2 linked regions of the Oryctolagus cuniculus genome follow. Each later gene encodes a partner of the first gene's protein in a complex. Links are inferred from orthologs where the notes say so. Each region holds a gene or a part of one and is shown on either strand. Other genes may lie near its edges.

Region 1 (6,271 bases):
GACACAGGACACGCGGGTGGGGCACAGGACACGCGGGTGGGGCACAGGACATGCGGGCAGGGTACAGGACCCGGGGGCGGGGCAAGAGCAGACAGCACAGGACATGCGGGCGAGGCACAGGACACGTGGGCGGGGCGAGAGGAGACAGCACAGGGCACGTGGGCGAGGCACAGGACCCGGGGGCGGGGCGAGAGCAGACAGCACAGGACACGCGGGCGGGGTGAGAGGAGACGGCAGTGTGGAGGGGTCAGGAGGCACAGGGCTCCCCTCCACCCCCCGGAGCAAGCCTTGGACCCTAACCCTAACCTGCTGCTCTGCCTCCCACCAACCTGGCACCCACGCCTGCAGGATTTCCTTCTCCACCGACTCTGACAGCCCCATCCCCTCAGGGGCTCCCGGCTCCTCGCCCCCTCGCTCGCCTGGCACAGCCTCCTGGTTTGCGGCTCTTGGTCTCCCACCCCTCCTCCCACACGCCTTAGGCAAGAGTCTTTCCAAAGATTCTCCTGGTTGGGTCCTGTGCTGGGGGCTGGCACTGTGCCACCTGCCTCCACCTGACGCAGGCCCAGGCCAGCAGCGACCAACGCACTGGAGCTGGTGTGCCCAAAGTGGGGGCAGGTGGGGCAGGCCCCTGGGCAGGCGGGGATCCTGCAAGGGGCTGCGTGGGGTCAGATCAAGCACGCGGGGGCTCTGCACTTTGCTAGTTGCCAAAGAGGAGTTGGGACGGCCAACAGCCCCGCACCCCACACCGCACCTCTGGTGGGCTGATCCAACGTGGCCACGGGCTGCGCACGCCCCTCCCCACCTGCACCTGCGGTCCCTTGACCGTGAGTTCAGCGCAGCCTCACCAGGAGATACCGGGAGACCGCAGAGATTCCCAGAGGAAGCGAGCAGTGCTGAAGCCCCCCCGACAGGGGAGACCGCACCCCCAAAGCAAACCCCGCTGCTGCCCCTGCGCCTCCTCCTGCACCTGCTTCCCGCGTCCAGGTCACAGGCCGGAGGGTGAGGATCCCGGGCACGGGAGCCGGGCCTCCCTCTCACTGCACTGGAGCTTCTGGGGCGGGAGAAGCAGACAGGTGCACAGACCAGGTGTGAGCCCAGCAGGTCCAACACCCGCAGCGGACACCACCCCAGCGCCCACCCCGACTGCGCGGGCGCAGCGTCTCCGCCCCCGCTTCCCCTCCCTCCTCTCCTTCAGCTCTGACTCCTCTGAGCGTCCTGTGGTTGCCCCTAGCAACAGCCCAGTGCCTGGCTGTAGGGGCCTGCTGCTGACCAAAGGCGGCCCAGGATAGGAGCCAGCCCGCCCCACGCCTGGATGTCCTCGGGGCCTCCCCGTCCATCAACCTGCACCCCTGAGCATCTGCACAGCCTCCCCGTCCATCAGCCTCTGCCTACACGAGGCGCCCACCGTTGCCACTGCCAGGAAGTTCTAGCTCAGCCTGAGCCGAATTCCTGGCCACTGCCCCCGTGCACACTGGAGGAAGAACCCGCCCTGCAAGGCCAGTGTGCCACGCACCAAAGATCAGCAATTAAGGCTTAGAATATCGTCATCCGGTTGTTGATGAGGTTGGGATTAACTTTAAGTCTGTGAATGCTTCTCTTTTTACTAATTATCTCTTTCTTTTCTTTCTCTCTCTCTTTCTTTCTTTCTTTCTTTCTTGCTTTCTTTCTTTCTTTCTTTCTTTCTTTCTTTCTTTCTTTCTTTCTTTCTTTCTTTCTTTCTTTCTTTCTTTCTTTCTTTTCTTCTCCTTCTCCTCCTTCTTCTTTTTTTGACAGGCAGAGTTAGACAGTGAGAGACAGAGAGAAAGGTCTTCCTTCCGTTGGTTCTGCTCCCTAAATGGCTGCTACGGCTAAAGCTGCGCCGATCCGAAGCCAGGAGCCAGGTGTTTCCTCCTGGTCTCCCATAGGGTGCAGGGCCCAAGCACTTGGGCCATCCTCCACTGCACTCCCTGGCCACAGCAGAGAGCTGGACTGGAACAGGGGCCACCGGGACAGAATCCGGCGCCCCAACCGGGACTAGAACCTGGTGTGCCGGCGCCGCAGGCAGAGGATTAGCCAAGTGAGCCACGGCGCCAGCTTTTTACTAATTATTTCATGTGAACACTGTAAACACATCAAAAATGCAGGTAGGGGCCGGTGCTGCGGTGTAGCAGGTAAAGCCGCCGCCTGCAGTGCCTTCCTCCCACATGGGTGCCGGTTCTAGTCCCGGCTGCACCACTTCCGATCCAGCTCTCTGCTGTGGCCTGGGAAAACAGAAGATGGCCAAAGTTCCCCCGTGGGAGACCTGGAGGAAGCTCCTGGCTCCTGGCTGTCACGGCCATTTGGGGAGTGAACCAGCAGATGGAAGACTCTCTCTCTCTTTCTCCTCTCTCTCTCTCTCTGTATTTCTGGCTTTCAAATAAATACATAGAATATTTTTTAAAAAATCATTTACTCGTGTGGCAGAGAGGCGGAGTGACAGAGAGCTCGTATCTGCCAAGGTACTTCCTGCAGGTTAGGCTGGGCCAGGGCTGACGCCAGAGCTGGGAGTCCAGCCCAGGGCGCCCATGTGGATGGCAGGGACGCGATGCCAGTTCCTTGAGCCGCCACTTCTGCCCCGCAGCTTGCAGGCAGGCCGGAGCTGAGCTGCGCACTGAACCCGGATGCGGGCGTCGTGAGCACTGCCGGCCGCGGTCCAGCACATCTACCTGATGTGTTGCTCTATTCTCTCGTTTGCGGCTGGATTTTACTTCACCAGACGGACGTAACCAGGGATGAAGCCAGGCCGATGCGGTTTCACGGCACGCCTCGTCCCGCAGCGCACGGTGGGTGCCGTGCTGGCTGACCGTCAGGTCCCTGTGGCCGCCAGGCCACTGCGAGTGGCGGCTGCCTTGTGCCCCGGCGCAGCTCAGGCCTGCCCTCCCGCTGCCTCCCGCGCTGAGCTGTTGCACAGTTCCCAGTGCCCGGGGCCCTCACCTCTCCGTGCGGTGGTGCAGCATCCCCCGCTGGAAGTAGGCCACGGCCAGGTGCCTGTCCTTGCTGATGCTCTTGGTAAAGGCCTGCGGAGAGGGTGGAGGAGGTCGGAGGCCGCGGGCAGCGTTGGGCAGGGCACGGGTCAGCGCGCCTGTCACTTCCTCGTGGCGTGGCATGGGGCAAGTTCCCTACTCTCTAGCTGAGCCCTAGTTTTCTCCTCTGCATGAGGGGCGTGTTGCCTTTCAAGTTCACTGGATCAGGATACAATGGTTCATTATGAAAATTAAAGTAATAAATAAGAATTTACCCGGAAGGCTGGCAGCATGGGGCTTAGGCAGCCGAGGCAGGGAACAATCCAGACACAGAACGCGCGGGGACGCCCGGCACCCACACCCTCCAGGGCCTGCCCCGGCCGCGCCCTCCGCCGGGGTCTTGCCCGCTGACCCTCGGCTCTGCCTGCGGTGGGTGTGGCCCTGGCTGCGCTCAGGGCCTTGCGAGGATCCGCAGCAGCAGGCAAAGGTGACAGCTGACTTCCGAGACGGGGCGGCGCCTTCCTGCTCCGTGTCTCACGCAATCGCTGCGGTGTTTATGCCCTTGGAGACCCAAGGTGCAGGGAGGAGCGGCGCCGCCGTTTGCCTGGAGCGCTCCTGCTGCCGGACCCGGGGGCGTCTCCCTGGCCCTGACCCCACTGGCCCCCACTGGGGTACGCGAGAGGCAAAAGTACTTTAGAAGGTGCTCAGACCCCATCCCCAGCCCTGCCCTTGGCTGACGCCCTGTCAGTCACGGTTAGCTAGGCGCGCACTGGAGATGCAGCCAGCTCTTGGTGAGCCAGAGGGCCGGGCTGCCCTGGGGGCACCTCGTGGCCGGGACGGGGACAGAGACGGAGACGGAGCGAACCAGTGCCCCGTGGGTCAGGGCCATCACGGCTGAGAAGAGGGGGAAGAGGGACAGCCTGGCCCTGGTCACGGCTCCCGGCCTGGGCTGCCCACGCCCCTCCCGAGCAGCTGGGGAATTTTGGGAGCTGTGGCGCAGGCCCTGCCCAGGCCAGCTGGGCGGGGGCTCTGGGCTAATGCGGAAGCTCCCTGGAGATTTGGGTTCCGTGGCCACCAGCCCGAGGGCAGAGGCTGCGGACACTGAGGAGGTGGGAAGAGCCCTCACTCACCTTCTCTGCCTCAGGCAGGTCTCCCAGGATGGCGTGCACGCAGCCCACGTTGAAGCAGATCCGGGCGTGCGGGTCCTGGACTGCGCAGAGGGCGGCCAGGGCCCCCCTCCAGTCCTCCCGGTCAGCCGCCAGCACCCCCTCATTCCAGAGGCTGATGGCCTCCGCCAGGGACATGGTCAGGTGCAAGCAGGTGTCGGGAGCGGCCAGGGACGGGCGGTGGGGGCAGGACGGGCCCGGCTCCCCTTAAGAAGGCTCTGGTGTTGCAAAGGCAGCGGAAGTGGCCCCACCTTTCAGCCAACTGTGAGAGAGAAGGAACGAGAGGGCGGCGGGGGCGGGCGGGGGGCGGGCAGGGGAAGTACAGCAGGTGCCGTTGTCATGGGTCAGTTCCCCAAAACGCTCCGCTGAGTCTCCGCCTCCTCCTCTGGCTGCAGCCTCTGTGGGGCCCAGGGCAGCCGTGCCAGGGGTGGCTTCCCCAGCTCCATTGCATCCTGGGCTTGGGAGGCTGCGGGGCGGGCGCCTGGCTCCTCCCGGCCTCTCCCGGTCCCCGGCTCTCCTGCTCCTGACCCTGCGACGGCCGTGTCCTGTTGGTTTCATCTTGAGCCACACCAGCGACAGACACATCTCCCGGGGTCCATCTGCACCCGAGGTCACTCGGATGAGCACTCAGGAAGTCCGGGGCGGGAGCGACTGCCCACAAGCGCCTCCGCGTGGGATCCAGGTCGGCCACGAACGGCAATTTCTCCCATTTGTGAGCTGACGGGCTGCGGGCTGCACGGAGGCTGAGACTCCTTGCCTTGCTGAGGGACCACGGGGTCCTGGGGACAGCCAGCGTGACCTAGAGAGCCCCCCGCGGGGTCCTGGGGACAGCCGGCGTGACCTAGAGAGCCCCCCGCGGGGTCCTGGGGACAGCCGGCGTGACCTAGAGAGCCCCCCTGCTCGCTGTTAGGGCTCAGCCCCTGCTTCCTACCGGAAGGAACACACACATTCACACTGCAATTCTCCCAAGAGCCTAAGAAACCGGGGCGTGCGCTCCGCAGGCCGTGCCGGGCGGCGGGTGAGGGAGGGCCGGGGACATGCGTGTGAGCATCCGCACACCTTGCAGGGTCCAGCTGCCCACAGGCCTCGGCCCTGACCCCGCCTCCTCTGCACCTGACCGTGTCTCCTGGGCCTTCGTGTGTCCATCGTGGCCCTCAGCCCCGGTCCACCCACCCCTCCACGCCCTCCGTCAGCGAGGCTGCCCGCCTGACTGCATCTCCTGGGCCGCCCAGCCCCGCCCTGCCTGCCCGCAGTGGGCGCCTTGTCCATGGTCCTCACGGCTCGAGCAGTGAGGTTCTCATCACGCCCGATCCCGGCCCTTCAGGGCCTCCGTGTGGTTCTGAGGACGCCACAGCCGCCGCCCGGCTCGCTCAGCCAGGCTCTCTCCCCTGGCCCTGCCGGGCTGCTCCTACCCATCTCCCACCCCCTCGGGGGGCCCTGCCTGGAGCCAGCACCTCACCGTGCCCTGGGTGAGCCCCGTGCTCTGCGAGGCTCAGTCTGCCCGGCGCCCCCGCGCTGGGCGATGGAGTCTTTACTTGGTGCCCCTGGGGGAGGCTCTCCAGCCCCTGCACGACCCCCTTCCTCCCTCTGGTCCGCCCCATTCTGCCCACGCCTCCCGGCTCCCGCTTGACCCACCCCGGTGTGAGTCTCCTGTGGCAATGGCAGAGACCCCAGGGCCTGTGCCAGGAAGGGGTCTTTTATTATCGATGCCGGCACAAGGCCCAGGTGGGCTTTTGTCCAGAACAAGGCGCGTATTTCCTTATGTGTCTCCCCTGTGCGAGTGGGCGCTCTGAGGACACAGGGCGGCTACGGGACTGATACAACACTGCTGCTGCTGCTGCTCCCACGCGCCTGCTGAGCTGTGTCTGGCCGGGGTTAACGCTGTCCCGAGTGCTAACGAGCATACAGAACACCACAGGCAGCAGGTGGCAACTGCAGTTCTCTTCTGACCGGGGAAGCCTCTTCCACACTTCACTCGTGTCAGCGAGAGATTCATTAGAGGCCTCTGCCGTGGCACAGCGGGTGAAGCCGCCACCTGCAGGGCCGGGATCCCATATGGGCGATGGTTTGGGTCCCAGCTGCTCCACTTGCGATCCAGCTCCCTGCCACGTCCTAGGAAGGCAG
Region 2 (5,810 bases), on another chromosome or scaffold:
CTGGAGCCCGGGGCCGACCGCGGGCAGGGCAGGGCAGTGCTCCACGGCCTTCTGGAAGGAGCCTGTGTGACTTCCCCGCCCGCTGTAGCTCAACAGTTCCCCGAAGTGAGGAAGCACAAAGCCTCTGCAGAGGACCCAGAGGAAGCGGAGGGGAGGGGCGGGGCAGGGAGGGGAGAGCAGGGGAGTGCAGGGGAGGGGCGGGGAGGGGAGAACAAGAGGGGAGGGGAGAGCAGGGGAGGGGAACTTTGCCCCCCAGAGAAGCCCACAGGCACAGGGGACAGAGCAGGGTCGGCACCAGCTCTATGTCCAGATGCACACAGCTAGGAGGGGGGAGTTGGGATGACAAGGGGGAGCCCCCATCCCCAGGCCTGGGCTGGGGAGAAAGAAAGGGTGGGGCCGCTCGTCCAAGTCTCACACTGGAGGGAGCCGGCGCCCCCCCCACCCCGGACTCCTGTCTGGCAAGGACAGCCAGCCCTCAGGTCCCCTTGTCATCACCCCCCAGGCTTAGAGGGGCCACCGGCACTTGGCCGCGTGTTCCTGTAGGGGCCCGTAGCACTTCCGCGCCTCCCACACCCACCAGCAGCTGCCTCTTCCCTCACACCCACCCCCACTGCTTGCCCGGCCTGGCTCAGCTGGGCCAACACCAGGGTCCTGAGCTGGGGGCCTGGCTGCCCACGGCTCTGCCTGTGACCTGTGCCCGTGCTGGGTCACCGGCCACCACCACCCGCCCGGCCTCAGTCTCCGTCTCCAGGACTCTTGATGGGCGATGGCCCCCCTCCACCGGGCGGCCCCAGTGTTTGGTCCCCAGGGCTGGGATGTGCACCCTGCCACCTCCTAGGTGTGCGGCCGGAAGCCAGCGCCTTCCCCCCCCTTTCCAGTAAAGTGGGGGTGCTAACAGTCCCCCCCGCCGCGTCACTGCTGCAGGAATGGAGTAGGAGAACCTTCTGCCCAGCTCCCAGGAACAGCCATATTCAGCCATGATCAGCAGCAGGGAGCAGAGCCGCCCCCAGAATTCGTCATCCCGGGGCTGGGGAGCCCCGGGGGAGGGGACAGAGGCAGCCGCTGCCTCCTGGTTAGTCCCGCAGGGCCCCGCCCTCCCCCAGGCCCAAGGTGCCCAGGTCACAGCATGGCCATAGCCCTGCCCTGCCCCACCCAGGGCCAGCTCCAGGAGAGAAGCACCCCCAAGTCCTGTCCCCGTGAGGGGAGACGGAGGCCCAGTGAGGGCAAACCACTACCCCAGGGTCACACAGCCAGCAAGGCCCAGGCTGAGAGCCGCCGTCTGGGACACATACAGGCTGGCCAGGAAGGAGGAAAGGTGGGGCCGCACCCCCCAGCCCCCGCGGGGCCTAGGACGGGGCAGGGGACCCAGGGTTGGGGCGTCGGGGTTGGGGGGGGCTGGAAAGATGGCCGCGTCCCAGGCCGGTCACGGGGAAGGCGGGCGGCACTGCGGTTTCTCTTCCTGTGAAGGGATCGAGGCCCTGCCAGTTCCGGCTTGAGGCCACGATGGGGCCCAGGCAGGGAGGGGTGGGGGTGGGGAGCCCTGGGGGACCCTGTGGGGAGGCTGAGGGCGCAGTGCCCAGAGGCCCAGGTGGCCCCGGGCTCCAGGCACCACAGGAGAGGCCGGCCCCACAGTGGTCACCTCCCTGGCGCAGCGGGAGCCACTCTGAGGAGCGCCCCACCCCTCCCCCACCCCTGCAGTAATTCGCTGCCCCTCCTCCAAACCACAGAGCAGCCACCTACTCGCTGTGTGACCTGGGATGTCACTTCCCCTCTGCCATCTGCGGGCAGGAGCAGCTGGGCTGAAAAGGGGGAGGTGGGGTGGGGGTAGGGCAGACGCCGTGCGTCACCTTTCCAATCTCAGACAGCGACACCTCCTCCAGGGAGCCTTCCCAGAAAAACCCAAGCTTGCCTTGGCTCCACACAACCCCAGAACAGCCTATGCCATCCCTGCCTCTCTCTGCCCTTGTCTTCCAGTGCCACGGCCACTAACCACCACCGTGTACTGCCCGCCAGGCACCTCGTGTGTATGGGCTCAGTCCTCCTGCCGAGGTAGGCACTGTCACCATCGCCTGCTCTCTGAGCCAGGAAACACAGGCGCAGAGGGTCTCGGCAGTGGGCACATGGTCATGGAGCAGAGGTATGGCACAGCCCGGGCTGACCGCCGGAGCCTGGCCCGGGGCGAGGCTGAGCCCCCGCGCCCCACCCCAGCCCCAAGCCTGAGCCCCTACCGATCTCCTTGGCCAGCGCCAGCCCCTGCGGGTAGGTGATGGGCGCCAGCTTCTTCTCCTTCAGCTTCTCGATCGTGTCCTTGTCGTCCCGCAGGTCCAGCTTGGTGCCCACCAGGATGATGGGCGTGCTGGGGCAGTGGTGCCGCACCTCAGGGTACCACTGGGTGGCGCCGTGCAGACCCCGGAGACAGCGGTTGGGGAGAAGATGGGAAGGAGAGGCGCGAGGAGGGGGTGTGTGGTTGGAGGACGCAGGTGCAAGGGGAGGAGAGAGACAGGGTTAGAGGAGGCAGCTGGCCAAGTTCCCGGCCCAGCCACCCTCGGAGACGCCCAGTCACGGGGCCCCCTGAGCCCCCACGCCAGCCCTGGGATCCCCGCCTCCCGTCCCGGGTCCCCGCCAGACCATCGCTCTGCGGCCCTCACCTTGGCACGGACGTTCTCATAGGAGGCTGGGCTGACAAGGGAGAAGCAGATGAGGAAGACATCCTGGGGACAGAGCGGGCAAGGGGGCTCGTGAGGGGGCACCCACAGGTGTCTCCCCAGCCTCTCCCCCGCCCCCAGCAGCCACTGGAGCAGCCCAGGGGACATGAGGGCCCCGTGACGCCGGAGCCCCTGAGGCCGAGGCCGGGAAGAGTGGGCTGTGGTCACAGAGCTGGGGGGGACACGAGCGGGGGTCCCTGGCTCTGCCTGGGAAGGGCAAGGCCAACTCCTCCGGCGGGGCCTGCAGGAGGCCAGGCTGGCTGGAAGGGCATCCCAAGCAGAGGGGACAGAGCGCGGAGGCCGGGCGTGCGAGGAGGTGGGGGCCGCACACCGTCTGGGGGTAGGAGAGCGGCCGCAGGCGGTCGTAGTCCTCCTGGCCAGCTGTATCCCACAGCCCCAAGTTCACTGGCTTGCTGTCCACCATCACATTGGCTGAGTAGTTGTCAAACCTGCAGGGAGCGGCAAGACAGACAGCAAGGTCAGCCCCGCGCTGTCCCATTCAGAGGCCGAGACCCAGAGAGGGGCTGTGACCGGCCCCAAGTCACACAGCGCGAGGCACTGGGGTGGTCCTCGTTCTTTCGGGGCTGACCGTTCTATCAAACAGGGATTAATCTTAGGTGACAAAAGGGGTCATTCATCGGCCCCTAACTGTCCTGAGAAGGCTGCGTACTGTCCCCCCAAGGCCACGCCCATGTTGTCACCCGGGACAGGGAGGAAGAGCAGCCAGCCAAGGGCACAGTGCTGGGGACCAGGGAGGGCGCAGCGACTCCGCCCAGGCCTTCCCAGAGCAGCAGGACACAGGTGTTGAGCCGTGGGCAGAGGGCCGTCTGGGGGCCTGGCAGCCCACCCCAGAGCACGCGGGGACAGCCGTCAGCCCGGGGCCGGCACTTCCAAGTGGGCCCTGTGACGCTGGCACCAGCGCCCCTGCCGGCACCCGCGCGGCTTCCGGATTTCCTGGCGTCAGGCAGCGTGCCAGTGCGGGGGACGCCCGGGGCCCGAGCCTGCCACAGTCCTCACTGACATTCCCCGAGACGCAGGTGCTGGGGCCTCCTGCTCTGGATGGTGAACCCGGCATCAGAGAGGGCGAGGGCCTTCCCGTGGCCACACAGCCCTGAGCGGCCGAGCCACTGCTGTGCCTGCAGGCACGCCCCCCCCCCGGCCCTGAGGCCCCAGGCCCTGCTCCTCAACCCCCCAGCTGGCCACTGAGACCTCTAAGACCTCCGCCTCCTCCTCTTCCCCCCGCCATAGCACCCAAGCCCACGCCCCCTGCCTCCCTGCACGTCCCAGCCACGCCCTGCCCACGGCGCCTGGCCCCTTGGCTGTCCACACGCTTCCACCGGCCTCCGCCAGCTCCCCTCCCCAGCCCTGGCCGCCAGCCACTGGCCATCACTGCCCCCTGCGCCTTCCTGCCCGTCTTCACCCAGACTCCTATTCAGGCTTCAAAACCCTGCCCAGCTAACTCCTCCTGGGGGGATGGGGAACTCCCCTGTCCCCTAGCCACAGACAGCCCTTTGTTCCCAGCTTTGGGGGACTGTTTCACCTTGACCAGGAGCAAACATGTGAAGTGTCCCTCCCCCACCCTCACCCCGAGGCGCGGGCTCCGAGTGGGCGGGGCTCCCACCGCTTCATCTCCACACCCGTGAATGCAGGCGGAAGGCAATTAAACCACTGTTCACCGCCCCCTCGGATGCCACCTCCTCCAAGAAGCCCTCACTGGGAGGCAGCAGAAAGACAACTTCTCCTGGGAAATCCCCGGCCCCTCCCCCACACAAGCTGGTGGCCTGACCCCTTTTTTTTCATACTTGGTACTTCCTGGAGAGAGTTCCCAGGCCTCTCTCAGTTCCTCAAACTGCCTCCTCCCTCCTGCCTGGAAAGCTCCTGCCATCACGCCCTCGCTGCCCGCTGGCCTTCCTCCCTGCCTCCTCTTCCCCCCAGGGCCAACCTCTTACTCATCCCTCCGGCCCCAGCTCAACCTCACCTCCTCCAGGAAGCCCCTCCTGGCCCCAGCAGGTGGAGGCCTAGCCCAGCCCCCCAGGCCAGCGCTGGGTGAGTGCCACTGTGTAAGCACCAGGAGGGGCCTGGGGAGGAAGGCGCTGCCCCAGGAGATAGCACTGGGCATGCCGGGAAAAGACGCACCTGTGTCACTTTCGGCTTTGGGTTTGGGTCAACCTTGGGGTGGCACCGCCCGAAGTTCTGGAGCGGAGCCGGGTCTCCTATGGTGCTCAGGGCCCCGGCAGCAGAGAGCTGGGACTGCAGCAGCACCCAGGAGGGGCCTTTGGTGTTGAAGTGACCCGAGACACAGGTGCCTTACAGCACGGGGGGGCCAAAGGCCGAGCCACCCGTCCAGGGGCTGCCGGCTCCCAGGCAGAGGACCCGGAATCCCAGCCCTGCTCCGCGGTGACAGCGGTCAGGGGGTGAGCACAGGAGCCACCCAGGGCGGGGAGGGACAGGGTTCCTGGGAAGCCGCGTCCTGCTGTGTGACCTTGGGCAGGCAACCAGCCTCTCTGAACCTCGCTGTATTCACTGCAAGAACATGCATCTCTCTCTCTCTCTCTCTCTCTCCCTCCCTCCCTCTCTCGGCCTTTAGGGGGACTCGCACACACACAGAACACCCTAGCCACCCCTCTGGGACACACTGAGAAGCAGAGAAATCTCAATTTCCATGTCCCCCAAAGTCCCGCCCACCCCACCCAGGACCAGCTGCCGGCGCAGGGGGCACCCGTGGCGGGGCCTCCTGGGGGTCTCCGTTCCTTAGGGGAACGCAGGCTGCCAGGACCAGAGGAGCCTCGCCCCACCCTCCACCTCGCCCCCTTTCCCAGTGAAGAAGCCAAGGCGCACAGTCAGGCCGGTGGGGGCACAGTGGGAGCTGCACCCTGCCGCCCAGACAGGGCAGGCTGTGTGGTCAGCAGGGCCACTTCTCCCAGCGTGAGGACCCCGCCAGGCCCCCAAGGAGAAAGGATGGCGCATCCTGACGCCAGGGGCCCCGTGTGGCTGGAGACAGGGACAAGGGCGGCCTGAGGGTGGGCTCAGGGCTCTGGGCAGCCAGTCAGGGCCTGGGACAGGATCGGGGCGGAGATGAGACTTGCCCTGAAGGACCCAGGCCCC

Evidence for each region. The genes of interacting proteins can lie anywhere in the genome.
Region 2: NCF2 (region 1) and RAC2 share a complex: the UniProt entries of both Homo sapiens proteins name them as parts of the phagocyte NADPH oxidase complex. The link is inferred for Oryctolagus cuniculus from reciprocal best matches to the Homo sapiens genes NCF2 and RAC2.

What each region holds. Positions count from the first base shown.
Region 1 is NC_091444.1:1,497,963-1,504,233, forward strand, and holds the start of NCF2 (neutrophil cytosol factor 2), read right to left. Parts: upstream 4,310-6,271; 5' UTR 4,286-4,309; coding exon 4,112-4,285; intron 3,036-4,111; coding exon 2,953-3,035; intron 1,052-2,952; coding exon of another isoform or gene 968-1,051; intron 1-967. UniProt on the Homo sapiens protein: Subunit of the phagocyte NADPH oxidase complex that mediates the transfer of electrons from cytosolic NADPH to O2 to produce the superoxide anion (O2(-)).
Region 2 is NC_091442.1:114,249,826-114,255,635, forward strand, and holds part of RAC2 (ras-related C3 botulinum toxin substrate 2), read right to left. Parts: intron 3,155-5,810; coding exon 3,037-3,154; intron 2,712-3,036; coding exon 2,649-2,711; intron 2,389-2,648; coding exon 2,229-2,388; intron 1-2,228. UniProt on the Homo sapiens protein: Plasma membrane-associated small GTPase which cycles between an active GTP-bound and inactive GDP-bound state.